2 linked regions of the Arabidopsis thaliana genome follow. The protein of the gene in region 2 interacts with the protein of the main gene of each other region in a pairwise test. Each region holds a gene or a part of one and is shown on either strand. Other genes may lie near its edges.

Region 1 (7,387 bases), on a different chromosome or scaffold from region 2:
AGCTTGACATGAGGTAAAATTAACTTTTGAGATTACAATGTATAGAAAACCTATATTGTAAACAATGATTGTTTTCAAAAACTTTTGTGGATTTTTTTTGGTTATATGCTAACTATTATAATATTAACTAAGATATAGATTTAATGTGATATACATATTATTTTAATATAAAACATTAAGCACTTATTCATTAAGAGGAAGTGTGTAGAATTAAAATCCATTTTATTATGATGAAATAGATAGTTAAATTGTACTGCAAAATAGAATATGTAAGATTGAAATTTGTCTTTTCAAAAAAGTATTAAATTAAATATAAAAAGTGTATGTGTTACTATTTAGTATTTAAAATTCAAATAAATTAGATGAAGTATGTAGATTTAAATTTAAGTTTATTATGATGGAATAGATTGTTAAAGTGTATAGAAATATGAAATATGTATGATTAAAATTTGGTTTTAAAAAAGTTAGTAAATTAAATATTAAGAAAATACAGATTACTTTTTAGAATTCATACACCATCAATAACTTATATATTCAATCCAACTATTTAGGCGTGTCTTATCTAATTATATAAAAAATGTAGAAAAAGACCTACTTTAAATAGTAATTTTTTAGATTGCATTCATTATTCACATAACATAAATATATTCTTTTTATATACTAATTTACTTGGAAAAAAAAAATCTAAACACATTGGTTTTATTAACCTTTCATTAGGTTTATTTGTTCCAAACACAAATTGGCAGAAACATGATTTTCTTTGGTTTAAAGCATTGATCATATGGAGATGTAGACATACATATTTCAATTATACTTTAAGAAACAAAAAGAATTACATATTTTAATGTGAGAGCTTTTGACAAGTCGTGCATATCATGAACCTTCCCAGAATCATCATTAGTATTGAAAATTTATTTACACACATTGGAAGACTGAAGATTCAAAAGTGTACACTTGACTTGACTGTTCAATTTCAACGGTTGCGTCATTCACTACTTCAAATGAATGTAGACGATATTCGATGTATTCGTGGATCCACGATTTGTTGACAAACTTTTACCTAACTTTGGTTTTTCTGATTAAAAAAAACGAAACCTACTAAAACAAATAAGATTCTTGTATACTAGGAATTTAGTTTAGTATATACTCCATATCAGTTACCTATCATTATCAAATGGTACACTCTGTAGCTAGGAGTAGGACATGGCAAAATATTCGTTAAATTTGATTTGATTATTCAAAAAAATTATAGACATAATAACTCAAAGCAAATATTAAAATATGGTATATGTTTTAAACAGAGCAAACAAAACACAAATAACAAAAGTAAAAAGGTCGAATATCCTGCTTTAATCCATATTTTCCATGTACATATACTATATGAGAAATGTGTATTTTTTATTAACTTTTTTTTTTTTTGACAAATTCATATATTATGAAGTACGTTGAAGTAATTTTAATATGATAAAAAGATTTAACTGATAAATATAATCATGAAATAAATAAAAATCATTATTATTTTCGATTTTTATTTCTTTCGAAATAAAATGTTTCCGAAATTGTTATTATTTTTCGTATATCAAAAATGAAAACATTTCTTCAAAAGATGTAATATCTTTGAAATAAAATGGAGTTTTAAATAAAAAGTCTTTGATTTAGTTATTATTTTCTTTTTAAAAAACATCGTTTTTTAATACCTAGTTAGTTGTACATATTTAATCATTCTTTAGTTTATATAGTATTAAAAACCATCAGAAAAAAACATATGTTTAATGAATTTTGTAACAAGAAAATATATTAAAATAAATTATAACTCGGTACATTGATCTGATGATAATAGATATAGTTAGGAGTGTCAAAATGGGTCAAAATTCATAGGTCAACTCAACTCAACTCAACCCATGAACCTTAATGAGTTGAAAATTTTGACTCAAATGAGTTGATGGGTCAAATGAGTTGATGAGTCAATTGGTTTGATGAGTAAAATGAGTTGGGTTATAATGGTTAATGGTTTCAATGGTTTACCCAATTAACCCATTAAGTTTTGTAAAATTGAATTAAACCAACTAAAATCTCTAAACCAATGTCAATTTAAGTTTAATCAACACATCTAAACCAATTTAATAAAATTAATATTTTTCCAAATTTCTTAAATATACAAACGATGAAATTGAGAAAAAGTAAACTCGTAATTTTTTCACCAAAAAAACATAAACCCGTGATTTTTCCGCCAAAAACGTAAACCCGAGATTTTCCCGCCAAAAACGTAAACCCGAGATTTTCCTGCCAAAAACGTAAATCCATAATTTTTCCGCCAAAAACGTAAACCCGTGATTTTCTCGTCGAAAACGTAAATCCGTAAAAAGTGGAATCGGTAAATATCCTAAGTTTGATGATAATGAATTAATATTGATAATTATTTATTATTATTTTATAATAATAATTAATTAAATTACTATTTAAATAGGTTAACCCATTTAACAACTCAACTCATCAAATTAAATAAGTTATGGGTTGACCCAACCCATTTAACAAAATGAGTTGGGTCAACCCATAACTCATTTAACCCTAAACTCATTTGATTATGAGTTAAGTTGAGTTGGGTTATCCATTTTGACATCCTTAGATATAGTGTTGTTTTTGTATAAAGATATATATAGTGTTGTTCCTTCAAAAAGATGATCTATGTTAATATACATAGAGTTATACTGGAATTGATACAACAAATATTCTGCCGACATAGATTAAACCAATTAGTTGGTACTTTCCACTTCATCACTAAACCAATCTGAACCAGAACCCCAATCAGATTGCGTGTACTTTTCTTTCGGTAAGAACCGGTGCCGACAAACCGGACATTTCATCTTGTTGTAGTCAACGATCCAACGGTCTAAACAATAATGATGAAACACGTGTCCACACTTGGGTAGCTGCCTAACCTTATCGTCGGACTCAAAATCTGACAAACAAACCGTACAACAATCTTCCGGATCGGTCGGAAGATCCGAGAACCGAACCACCGGGATCAACTCGTTAGCAAGACTCGCTGACGTAGAGAGAGCGTGTCGGGTCAGATCGGGTGCAGAGGTCTCGTTGTGGTCTAGAAAACGAGGTAGACCAATGTAAGGACAAAGAGCATCGACGATGTCTCTAAAGAAACCGATGACGTAAAGTATCTTTAATATGTAACTTGGAATCTGAAGCTCGGTGATGAAATCTTCAGGAAGACCCATGATTTAGAGAAAGATAGAGAAGAGAGCTAGATTGAGATGTGGAACTATAGAGACAAGAATAAAGTGTGTATAATAAAAAATGGTGAGATTTATAATTGTGTTTGGAGTACAATTCAAACCGGCAGCTGAAGATAAGTATAACCAAATTGATGTCAAAACAAAAGAGAATACATATTCTATATACTTTTCTTTGCAAAACGGTGAATGGTTGAATTTTAATAACACAGTTTAAAGACTATTGACATCAAGGAATTTTAATAACACTGTTTAAAGGATTTTTCAAAGAAAAAAAAGTTCTTTAATACTACTTCAAAATGGTAACGACTATTCAGAGACTCCATCCAAAAATTTATAAAGTTTTACAAACGTATAAAAGTAGTTTGTTTAAGTTTTCTTATAAAGTTACACTTATTTAGGTATATTTCAGATTTTAAAGATATTTTTGATAAATGTTTTAGAGAGATGACATTTTTGAAAAGTGGTAATGGAAAATGTGCATTTCTAACAATTCTTCCTAAATATAGTATATGATTTTAGCAAAGCAAAACTCAAATAATATCAGTTAAAAAGTCGATTATCCGCTTTAATTCAAACTATGTCAATTTTGTAGTAGTTATATAAAGTACAACAGAAAGAATTTAAATATGATAAAAAAGATTCATTTGATAGATATTATGAAAGGCAAAAATTTGTTTTTTTCGTCGAAAGACATATAGATTTATAGTGGATGAAATATCTTCTAAACTATTATTTTTTTTGAATAAAATATATTGCTTTATATCAATTTTGACAAAGACTAAGGTAGTTTACGTATTAATTCATTCTGTAATTTATAAAGTACAAATAAAAATAGTATCATGGATTTTAATAGACAAATTAAGAGTTTCTTTAAGATATTTTTCGGTATAAAACTGTTTACAAATTCTATTTGGTAGAGACGAATTAGATTATGAATACTGTTTTTCTTCAAAAGAAAATGAATTCAGATTCCTAACATAGCGATATACCATAACACTTGATGTGTTTATTTGTCCACTTTTTTATTCAAATAAAAGAAAAGCAGATTACATTGGAAGATTTTATACAGACGGTTCTTTAACAAAGAAAGATGATTGATGCTAATATACACAATTACATAATCTTATACTTGAATTATACAGTAGTTTGGAAGAAAGAATTATACAGTAGAAAAATATTACCGTGAAAAAAGTAAAAAGTAAAAGTAAAACCATCATTATTAGTTGGTACTCTCCACTTCATCTCTAAACCAATCTGAAGTACCCCAATCAAACGGCGTGGACTTTTCCTCCGGTAAGAACCGGTTCCGACAAATCGGGCACGTTATCTTATTACAGTCAACGATCCAACGGTCTAAACAACGATGATGAAACACGTGTCCACACTTCGGCAGCTGTCTAATCTTATCGTCGGATACAAAATCGGATAAGCAAACCGTGCAGCAATCTTCCGGATCGGTTAAAAGATCGGAGAAACGAACCACCGGGATTAACTCGTTGGCAAGAGTTGCTGACGTGGAGAGAGCGAGTCGGGTCGGGTCGGATCGAGAGGTCTCGTTGTGGTCAAGAAAACTTGGTAGACCGATGTAAGGACAAAGAGCATCGACCATGTCTCTAAAGAAACCGATGACGTAAAGTGTTTTTAGTACGTAACCTGGAATCTGAAGCTCTTTGAAATCTGTTGGAAGACCCATGAGTGTGAGAGAAAGATAGAGAGGAGAGAAAGAAAGAGATAAAGCTTGAATTGTTGAATTATAGAGACAAGTATAATATATAGTGAGATTGATGTTGGAGTTATAATAATTGAATCCGGCGGCTCAAGATAAGTATAGTCAATTTGATCAACAATGGTGGGTCTTATTTAGTGTATAATGTAAAATAGTAAAATATTTTGCTTGGTATAGAAACAAAGAGAATATATTAATACAATTTTCTGTGATAGATAATGTGGTGACGTTAAGGGTCTTCTTTAGTATATACCAAAACAAAAAAAACAAATTTTAATATTAGGTAGAAATTTAATACCCGAATGATGGATTTATTGGGATCTTGACATCAGGGATTCAAGAGTGGATAGTGAAGATATGAACACGATCTTGAATCTATAGGTCCTACCAAACTAAAATCATCTTGAATCCATAAGAATGATTCTCTCCTTACATGAGATATTATATACTTCAAATTTCATATAGAAGAGCAAATGGGGATGTAGCTCAGATGGTAGAGCGCTCGCTTAGCATGCGAGAGGCACGGGGATCGATACCCCGCATCTCCATTTTTTTGTTGTGAATTTATCCTTGTTTTTTGTCGTTTTATTATTCCCACTAAAAGATACACATTCTTTGATATTGGGCCTTTGGTACGAAACCCATAATTTGGACGCACTCATACTTTAATTCGCACGCATTTAGACACTCTTTAGTACTTTATTATTCAGACATAACGGTGATGAAGTCATCTTGTCGTAGTTCTATATTCGGTTTGCACAAAGAGACACAATGAATTATCCAATGTCAGAGCGTTTCACTTTGTTTTCTCAGAAATATCTTTAAAGTTTTGTCATGCAGAATCTTCAAAATTTAGCAACACACTGAGTTTTCAAAATTTAGCAACACACTGAACCTTCAAAATCTAGCAACACACTGAGTTTTCAAAATTTAGCAACACACTGAACCTTCAAAATTTAGCAACACACTGAGTTTTCAAAATTTAGCAACACATTGAGTTTTCAAAATTTAGCAACAAACTGATATCAAATTTGTAATCCTTAGCTTGCAAATATAGAATTTGTTGTAGTAGAGACATTTTGAATCAAGTAAAGATGTAATCATATTATATAAGTTACTATATGATCCACGTAATGGCTAATCGCTTACCGGTAATTGAAAAAGAGAAACAAAAAAATAATGTTAAAGACTAGTCGATTTAGTATAAGTTTGTAAGCTAAGAAAGAACTGCAGTAATGGATGGCTCCACCATCTTATTTAGCCTCTATATATGGCCTTCAAGATTGTGATTCTGATTTATGAATCATCTTCTTCGGTTCAACAAACAAATTTTACTTCAAAAAGTAAAATTTTAAAATAGGTTATAAAGACTTCAACACTAGACTATTTAGATTCTACACAAGTGACCTAAACCAGAAAACCTTGTCTATACATGATCAAGACCTGCCTTAAATTTAAGATAGTTGCAATATAGAGCAAGAGTAGAATGAAATTTCAGTTGAGGAGGATTTTAGCAATTACCATTAGACTTAAATTACAATGACACTTTCTGCTTTTTTACATATTGTTGGAGCAATAACATAAGTTCTCACTAATGACATAAGTTCTCACTAATAACATAAGTTCTCACTAATAACATAAGTTTTTCAGAAGACTAAAATATAGTTTCCTATATATTTTCTTCCTCGGTACTAAACCAACTGGCTTTGGCGAAATATTTCACGGATTACAATGGAATAAATTGAGATTTGGAACTTAATAAATGAGATTACGAGGAAAAATAAATTAATCAGCAAAACTATATGGTTAAAAGCCTAACAAAAACCCCTAATTATTTTTCTCTTTCAAAATTTTCTTAGTACAAAATAGAAATTACTTTACTTCAGTGACTTCACCTGCTCTACATACACCAACATTGATCCATAATGTATTATTCCTCTTTGTTTGTAATACTCTGCAACAGTTTCTTCTAGGTGACTGCCAAGAAAATACTAAGCATTAACAGATTAATTTAAAATTTCCAAAAATGAATCTCTCAAAAACAAAATATCACTTACTCTGTTCCATAGGTGAGGATCGGGTTTTTTGTAGACGACTATAGTGTTGATCTCCTCTGGGTTAGCCATATCCCATCGACAAGCCGGTTGCGGAACCCGATGTCTCGTGTATTCGCTAACCGTCGTGTTCAACTGCGGGTCAAATTTTGCACTCGACATGTGAAAAACAAACGGTTTTTGGCAATGATTGCGACTCACGGGCCTAGTATTGAATGCGTAGGCGGTGTAATCCGCTCTTTTGTACCAATTCAAGAAAGTTCTAGATGGCATTTCCATTTCCCGGGGAGAGAATGATCCACGGAACACCTGGACCGCAAATCCCCACGAGACTGAAATAGTCCAGCTTTTGTGTT
Region 2 (7,844 bases):
TTTGTCCTTAAACCAACAATAACGGCTGTTAGGCCATGTTTTGTAACGGCTGTTAGGAGCGCTGTTAAGGAGTGTTAACGGTGAGTCTATTTGGCCGGGTCAACGACAAATTATAGGTTAAATTAGAAGTCAACGATAAATTATAGGTTAAATTAGAAGTCAACTTTTTGTTGAGGTATAAAACGACCATTTCAAGAGTTCACGGTTAATTTGGCCATTTTTTGAAAGTTCAGGTATTAAATAACATTTTTCCCAAATGAGAAGTGATACTCACAGGCCAAATAGCTAGAATGTAATAAATGTTATGAAGAAAACTTCAGTCATGGTTGTGATTTGAATAAAACAAAAATGTACTGCAATATTATGAAGAAAACTTGCAAGGGAAGCATCAGTAAATTAACCATCATCAAAAAGACCCAATGCATTGAATTTGCTAGCACTTGTTCCAGGTGAGCACCGAGCTTCACTTGATGATCATCTCTAGGTGGGTTAAAGCTTCTGTTCTGATGGGCTTATTGATGTTGCATCATATTCATATGTTTTCTTCATATGTTCTACAAAGGCGTAAACATTAAGATCCTCTACATGGTCTACAAAGGCGTGAACACTACAACAGCTTTGGTATTCTCCAAAACCTTGGATTTCAACACTTAGGAGAGTGTTCCTTTCGAGATTAAAGTAGAAGACATAAAACGGCTTACATACCTTTTTCTTCGCCAAAACAATTTCACCTGTAGCAGTTATCCCAACAATAAAAAGATCGTAGTAAACCTTAACGACTCTATCCTCATCCCTCAAAGTGTACACAGATGTTGTCCATTCCTGTTTCTCCACATCCTCTAGAACCCACATACATAACTTAAGGGGAAATCCACCGCCATGAGCATACTTCAAATTAACCACACCTAATTTACCTTTATAGTATATCAATTTAGTAGATCGTTCAGAAAAACAGTCTTGGTTTAGATTTAGACATTTGAATTTCTCGGACCTGACATCAAAGCAAACTATATACCCCAAGAAATCATCAATGTTATAAGCTATGTAATACAAAGCCCCATTGATGCATATCCATTCATGCGAAACAATATGGATCAAGGGGCATTGTTGGATCTTCCTCCATCTCACTTTTCTAGTTCCCAATGTCAAAATATGAATGTCCTTTGTTTCATTATTGTTTATCTTATTCATGAGCAATACCTTGAATTGCTTGCCAACCGGATCAAACAAAAAAAAGCTTCTCGTCTCTCCATACGTCAACAACAATTTAGGTAACATCGCATAATGTCCCGTGCTAGGGTTACATATGACATCTGCCTTTGTGATCCACATAGCAGAGAAATATACCAAACCAGAAGTATAGTTACAAATGTTTAGGTTTTGAGAGAACTTCGTATGAAAATCCGCAGTTGCTACAAAAGATGACTTCCCATATGGATTCTGAGGCTGAGGCGACGAGAAAAACCTCCACTCACCGTGTTTTGAAAAGGCAAATAAGAGACGTGGACGAGCTGACGATATGGTCAAGAACAACTCGTTGAAATATGGACGGCAAAGCATGGAACCCCATAGCTTTGAGACGCAATGAAACCTAGTGATTGACTTTGCAGGCAATCTCGAGAGTATCTCAAGAATGAGATCGATAGGGATGGAATCTGAGTTTTCTTCTCCATTCATGATCGTATTTGTATTTTCTTATCTGATGAGAGATATGAACACAAAATCGGTGAGACTCTTAAATAATGTATCGTACGATAAAGTTTGACCTAATTAATCAATCTTATTCATGGTTTTCGCTAACCTAGGCCCAAGAAGCATCGTATGATTGTATGAGTATATATATGTTAATTGTAGTATCTTTCCTTATTTATCATTATTCATTTATATATTTTACCAAAAAAAATAAAATCATTTATATTTTTTTCCTGAAAACATTCATTTTATACTTTTCTGAAAACAAGTCTTGATAATTAATCTGAATTCTTCTTAAACAGTCTAATCAAGGTGTTTAATTTTATTTTTGGAGTCCAAATTAAATAAAATGCTTGCAGAAAGAAAGAAAGAAGCATCTCTTATCTCATAGCAGAGAACAATGGTTAAAGTATGATTGTATATTTGTATGGCACGATAAAATAAAGCTCACGAATCTCTCATGTTTAGAATAACTTCTTTTATTCACTTTACTGCAACAGTACGTGTGTGTGCTCCTTCATCTGTCATGGTAAACACTAAACAGTTCCAAATGCCTTTTTACCTTTTCTAAATCCTCAATTCTAATGATTTTAAATGAAACCTAAAATTGATAGAATCACTTCAAGTTTTGTTTTCTTTGCAATCATTCAAAAATCAATAGAATTTTAAAGATTGACAGAAGATCCTAAAAGTTAATTATCTCAGCCGATGTTTAGCACATAGACGTAAAGTCAAAAAACAAAACACTCTAGTTCCTAATACATAAATCTCTAAAACTAAAACGTAAATAAGCAGAACATAGAAACTTATTTTGTAACTTCTTTTGGTCCGAATATTTTACCCAATTATTACAATATGTAACGAACTTCACTTGTGTGATAAAAAAGACTAATTACATTTACCTATTGGATTAATATGACTACATAAATCGACATAACTCCTCCAATAACTCCACCACTTGAACCATAGTAGGCCTTTCTCTAGTCGACTCTTTAATACAAAGACAAGCAATCCTAAAATACTCTTCCACTCCCTTCTCACTACCACAAACACCTCCAAAATCCAACATTTCATAACACCGATTTTGCTCCACCATGATCACAGCCCATTGAGCCAACCCAACTTCCTTCTCATCCACAACAACCGTTAAATTCGGCCGTCTCCGCGTCGCCAATTCCAACATCAATACACCAAAACTATAAACATCAGCTTTAACCGTCGCCGCGGTATTCCCTTCCCAATACTCCGGTGGCATGTACCCCATCGTCCCCGCCACTTGCGTCGACACATGCGACCTCGACGCATCGATCCTTCGCGCCAATCCGAAATCCGCAATATGCGCCACGAAATCCGAATCCAACAGCACATTACTCGATTTGATATCTCTATGTATAATTGGTTTCGGTAAACCATGCAGATAAGCTAAACCCTTGGCCACATCGCGCGTGATATTCACGCGCGTTGACCAAGTCAATGGACTGTTCTCTTCGTCAGTCTCGTGTAACCAATAGTCAAGACTACTTTTCTCTAAGAACTCGTAGATAAGAATCCGATCTGATCCCGAGATGCAATAACCGAGGATCCTAACTATGTTTGGGTGATTGAGACGACCTAGAGTGTCCATTTCGGCTGCGAATTCTCGGAATCCTTGTAAAGCGTCGTGATCGAGCTTTTTAACGGCGACTACGACGCCGTTTGAGAGCTGAGCTCGATAAACGAGACCGAAACTTCCGTCGCCGACGATAAGATCCGATGAGAAGTTTTTAGTTGCTATAGTGAGTTCCGCCATGGATATTTCACAGATTGATGGATCGAAGCTTTCGGTTACTGTTTCCGTGTTTAGATCGGGATCGGGGTCGGGGAAGTTACGATTCCGGCGAGGATGGTTTTGGATTGGAGGACGACGGCGACATACGATCATAACGACGGTGAAGACGATAAGCAAGAGGAAGATGGAGCTTATGCTGGTGGCTAGGATTAGTGAGATTTGGTAATCCATGGATAGTGTTTGGGATCAGTATGAGATTGAGAGAGAGAGATTGAGAAAGAGAGAGTAAGAGATGATCCGCCATTGATAGTGACGGAGGAGGAAGTGTAAGGTTTTGATTGAGTCGTAGTCGTAGATAAGACAAGTCAACGATTGTTGCTGGAGAAAGTCTACGCAGGTTGTACACGTGTCTTGACGATATTGGTGGTTACGAAGTATGTGTAAAATGCTTGAAAATTTCTGCTATGAAGTGGGAATTTCTTTACTTGATATCAAAATTAGTTAGCTTATAGTTTTGGAACAATTAAACTACAAGGTTTAGTTGCTTAAACTAATTTATACCCCTAAGACAATTTTCAATGATAAAGTGACTCTATTTTTTTTCTTTAATTATAAATTTGAACAATTCAAAGTTTAGAGTTTGTGTTGAATTCTTATATTTTTTATTATTTAATGGTAGAGTCATGCATGGATTTCTTTAAGAGAAATAAATCATACTTTTAAAATGATAAATTATAAATATTTTGGATTCTAGTAAAAGCATTAAAATAATTAGACCAAACTCATCTAATAAAAGCATCAAACACAAACTCATTTCATTACTTGTTACCTAGACCAAACACACCTAAGGAAAGCATCAAACACGAACTCTTTAAGACAACATCATTACTAAGATAATTAGACAGAACAAACTCATATCTACATAATTTGCTTTCATTATTAGAGAATTCAAGGGTTCAGAACAAAATCATATGAGCTCAAAACCATAAGAAACCGTAAAACTAAGCGAAACAGAACAGAACATACGTCATAGGACAGACAAAATGGTCTTAAAACACTCGATTGAATTGGTTTAAGAAAAAGTAGAAGAATACACTGTCACAGATTTTCGTTTTGTTTGTTTTCGTTTAAAGATCTTGAGTTGTTTTGTTTATGCTTATAATTTGTGGGGTTCAAGTGTTTCTTGTCATGATTATGATTAATATTTGATCCAAATACTATTTTTAACATCCGTAAACATTTTGTTATGTACTAAATTTATTTTTAAAAATAACATGCTGGGGATGATACTATATTTTTTTTTTTTCCCCAACTTTTTTTGTCACTGTTTATTATAAAAGGGATGATACTATCTAATGTCCACCAAAGAAATCAAATCAATTTTTTTTTATGACGAAAAAGAAAAAAACAGATCAAGAGTCAGAAATCTCGTGTGGAAAATCGACGCTCATCGCGTCTTCAAGACACTAGCGATCGATGTATTTGATTTCATCAATCTCTTCAAACCTAAGAAAAAAAAGTGCAGACTGAAATTAAGAACTGAACAAAAACGAGATTTGGAGTATGGTATAGAAGACGGAAGCTGAGAGATGAAGATGACATTATATAGGGCACAATTATTTACCCTAATTTCCATTGATTTGGGCTTTTGTGAAGCCCAATAAGGAAAATGGGTTCACATTTTAAAAATGTTCAAAAACGTGTTTAAGGTTTTGTATAAAAGGAACGTAAATAGGTTTTTTATTCCTCACTTCTCGTCAGAGTCTTACGCCGCAGGGCTCATCGGAGTTTCAGGTTCTTCTTCTTCTCTCTTCCTCCACCTCCATTTTCAAAGATTTTACGATTCAGACTTAGTTAGAATCTTAGTCGAATCAATAGAGAACTGATTCAGAGTTATTTTGATTAGAGCTTGATTTCAAATTTACTGTTTATTGAAACGAATTAGGAGGAGAAGAAGAATGTCTCACAGGAAGTTTGAGCATCCAAGACATGGTTCTCTTGGTTTCTTACCAAGGAAGAGAGCTAATCGTCACAGAGGAAAGGGTATGTCTTTTTTTCAAACTTAGGACTGAGAAGGAAATAACTCCAATGGGAGGATTCGCACATTACGGTATAGTGAAGGATGACTACTTGATGATTAAGGGTTGCTGCATGGGTCCAAAGAAGAGAGTTGTGACTCTTCGTCAGTCACTGCTAAGGCAGACTTCTCGTCTTGCGATGGAGGTGATTAATCTCAAGTTCGTCGATACCTCATCGAAGGGGGGACATGGTCACTTCCAGACCAGCGAGGAAAAGGCCAAGTATTTTGGTCGTGCTGCAAGAAAGGCTTAAACCAAGTCTCTATTCTTTTATTAGCTCGTCTTTAAAAATTCTTTGAAAGATAACTATTTTTTGAACCATCTGTTGCAATTTTGTATTTTAGTTATTTGGTGAATTTTTAACATTTTGCTTCCGTTACTATTGTTCCTCAAATTTCTTCTAACTAAATTATTATGAATCAGATCTTATATAATTTTTTATAAGATGCAAGTTTTATTGAGTCTATGACTAACTGGTTAGAGTAAAATAGAGTGCTCATGAACTTTTTTAGAAAACCAGAACTAAAACGTAATTGATTTGAATAAACCAAACCATTTTTGAGTAAACTCTAAACCAATCCGAACCAATTTTGATTGGAATTTATTAAAACTAAATTAACCGAACCGAATCAAATTGAATCACAAAACAAAGAGAGCAAAACCCAAACTATTTTGAATAAAACCAGAGCTAAACCGAAACTGATTCGAACAAACCAAATAAATTTGAATAAAATCTAAACCAAACCGAACCAATATTGATTGGAATTTATTAGAAGTAAATTAACCGAACCGAATCAAATTGAATAAAAAAACAAAGAGATTGGTATGAGAAAACCCAAACTAAACCAAGAGTGAATTTGGAATCAAAGGTTAGAGAATTCATCTTCGTTTGCTTGTTTTTGTTCTCTCTCCCAGTTCCTGGGTTCACGACGAGGAATGTTGCATATGATTTTATCTCAAAGAGTAATCCTTTTACGAAAATATCACTCTTCTGCAAATGCCCTTGTTACCAAATCACCAAATTCTATCCCCGAGTTGGTTAAACATATTGATTCGGATCTGATACGTAATGCACATAAGGTGTTCGACGAAATTCCTGAGTTAGATGTCATTTCTGCTACAGCGGTGATTGGTCGCTTTGTGAAGGAAAGCAGACATGTGGAAGCAAGTCAAGCCTTCAAAAGGTTGTTGTGTTTAGGCATAAGGCCAAATGAGTTCACGTTTGGCACGGTCATTGGGTCTTCTACAACTTCGAGAGATGTCAAATTGGGTAAGCAGCTTCATTGTTATGCGTTAAAGATGGGACTTGCGTCGAATGTGTTTGTTGGTAGTGCGGTTTTGAACTGTTATGTGAAACTGAGTACGTTGACAGATGCTCGTAGATGTTTTGATGACACTAGAGACCCAAACGTAGTTTCTATTACCAATTTGATTAGTGGGTACCTTAAGAAACATGAATTTGAAGAAGCTCTTTCGTTGTTTAGAGCAATGCCTGAGAGAAGTGTTGTTACTTGGAATGCAGTTATTGGAGGGTTTAGCCAGACGGGGCGGAACGAAGAGGCTGTGAATACTTTTGTGGATATGTTAAGGGAAGGTGTGGTGATACCTAACGAATCAACCTTCCCTTGTGCTATAACAGCCATATCTAATATAGCTTCTCATGGTGCTGGTAAGAGTATTCACGCCTGCGCTATAAAGTTCTTGGGGAAGCGATTCAATGTCTTTGTTTGGAACTCTCTGATCAGTTTTTACTCAAAATGTGGGAACATGGAAGATAGTCTTCTGGCTTTCAACAAGCTCGAAGAAGAACAACGGAACATTGTATCTTGGAACTCTATGATATGGGGTTATGCGCACAACGGAAGAGGAGAAGAAGCTGTAGCCATGTTTGAGAAAATGGTTAAAGACACAAACCTGAGACCAAACAACGTGACAATCCTTGGAGTATTATTTGCGTGTAACCATGCGGGCCTAATACAAGAAGGGTACATGTATTTTAACAAAGCTGTGAATGATTATGATGATCCAAACCTACTAGAACTGGAGCACTATGCTTGTATGGTGGATATGCTTTCTAGGTCCGGCCGTTTCAAAGAAGCAGAAGAGCTTATTAAAAGTATGCCTCTTGACCCAGGAATCGGGTTTTGGAAGGCATTGCTTGGGGGATGCCAGATTCACTCAAACAAGCGTCTGGCTAAATTAGCGGCGTCAAAAATCTTGGAATTGGATCCTAGAGATGTTTCATCATACGTAATGCTTTCAAATGCTTATTCTGCTATGGAAAACTGGCAGAATGTGTCGCTGAT

The links. Proteins that work in one complex are often made in the same cells at the same time.
Region 1: the proteins of AT5G42440 (region 2) and RHA1A interact in a protein complementation assay, tested with the Arabidopsis thaliana proteins (one large-scale study listed by BioGRID).

Annotation. Positions count from the first base shown.
Region 1 is NC_003075.7:6,903,623-6,911,009, reverse strand, and holds RHA1A (RING-H2 finger A1A), read right to left. Parts: upstream 3,523-7,387; 5' UTR 3,234-3,522; coding exon 2,754-3,233; 3' UTR 2,568-2,753; downstream 1-2,567. Other genes in the region: RHA1B (RING-H2 finger A1B), read right to left, coding at 4,471-4,944; AT4G11350 (transferring glycosyl group transferase (DUF604)), read right to left, coding at 6,850-6,954, 7,035-7,387. UniProt on the Arabidopsis thaliana protein: Probable E3 ubiquitin-protein ligase that may possess E3 ubiquitin ligase activity in vitro.
Region 2 is NC_003076.8:16,970,823-16,978,666, forward strand, and holds AT5G42440 (Protein kinase superfamily protein), read right to left. Parts: upstream 4,056-7,844; 5' UTR 3,692-4,055; coding exon 2,612-3,691; 3' UTR 2,380-2,611; downstream 1-2,379. Other genes in the region: AT5G42430 (F-box and associated interaction domains-containing protein), read right to left, coding at 490-1,677; AT5G42450 (Pentatricopeptide repeat (PPR) superfamily protein), read left to right, coding at 6,475-7,844.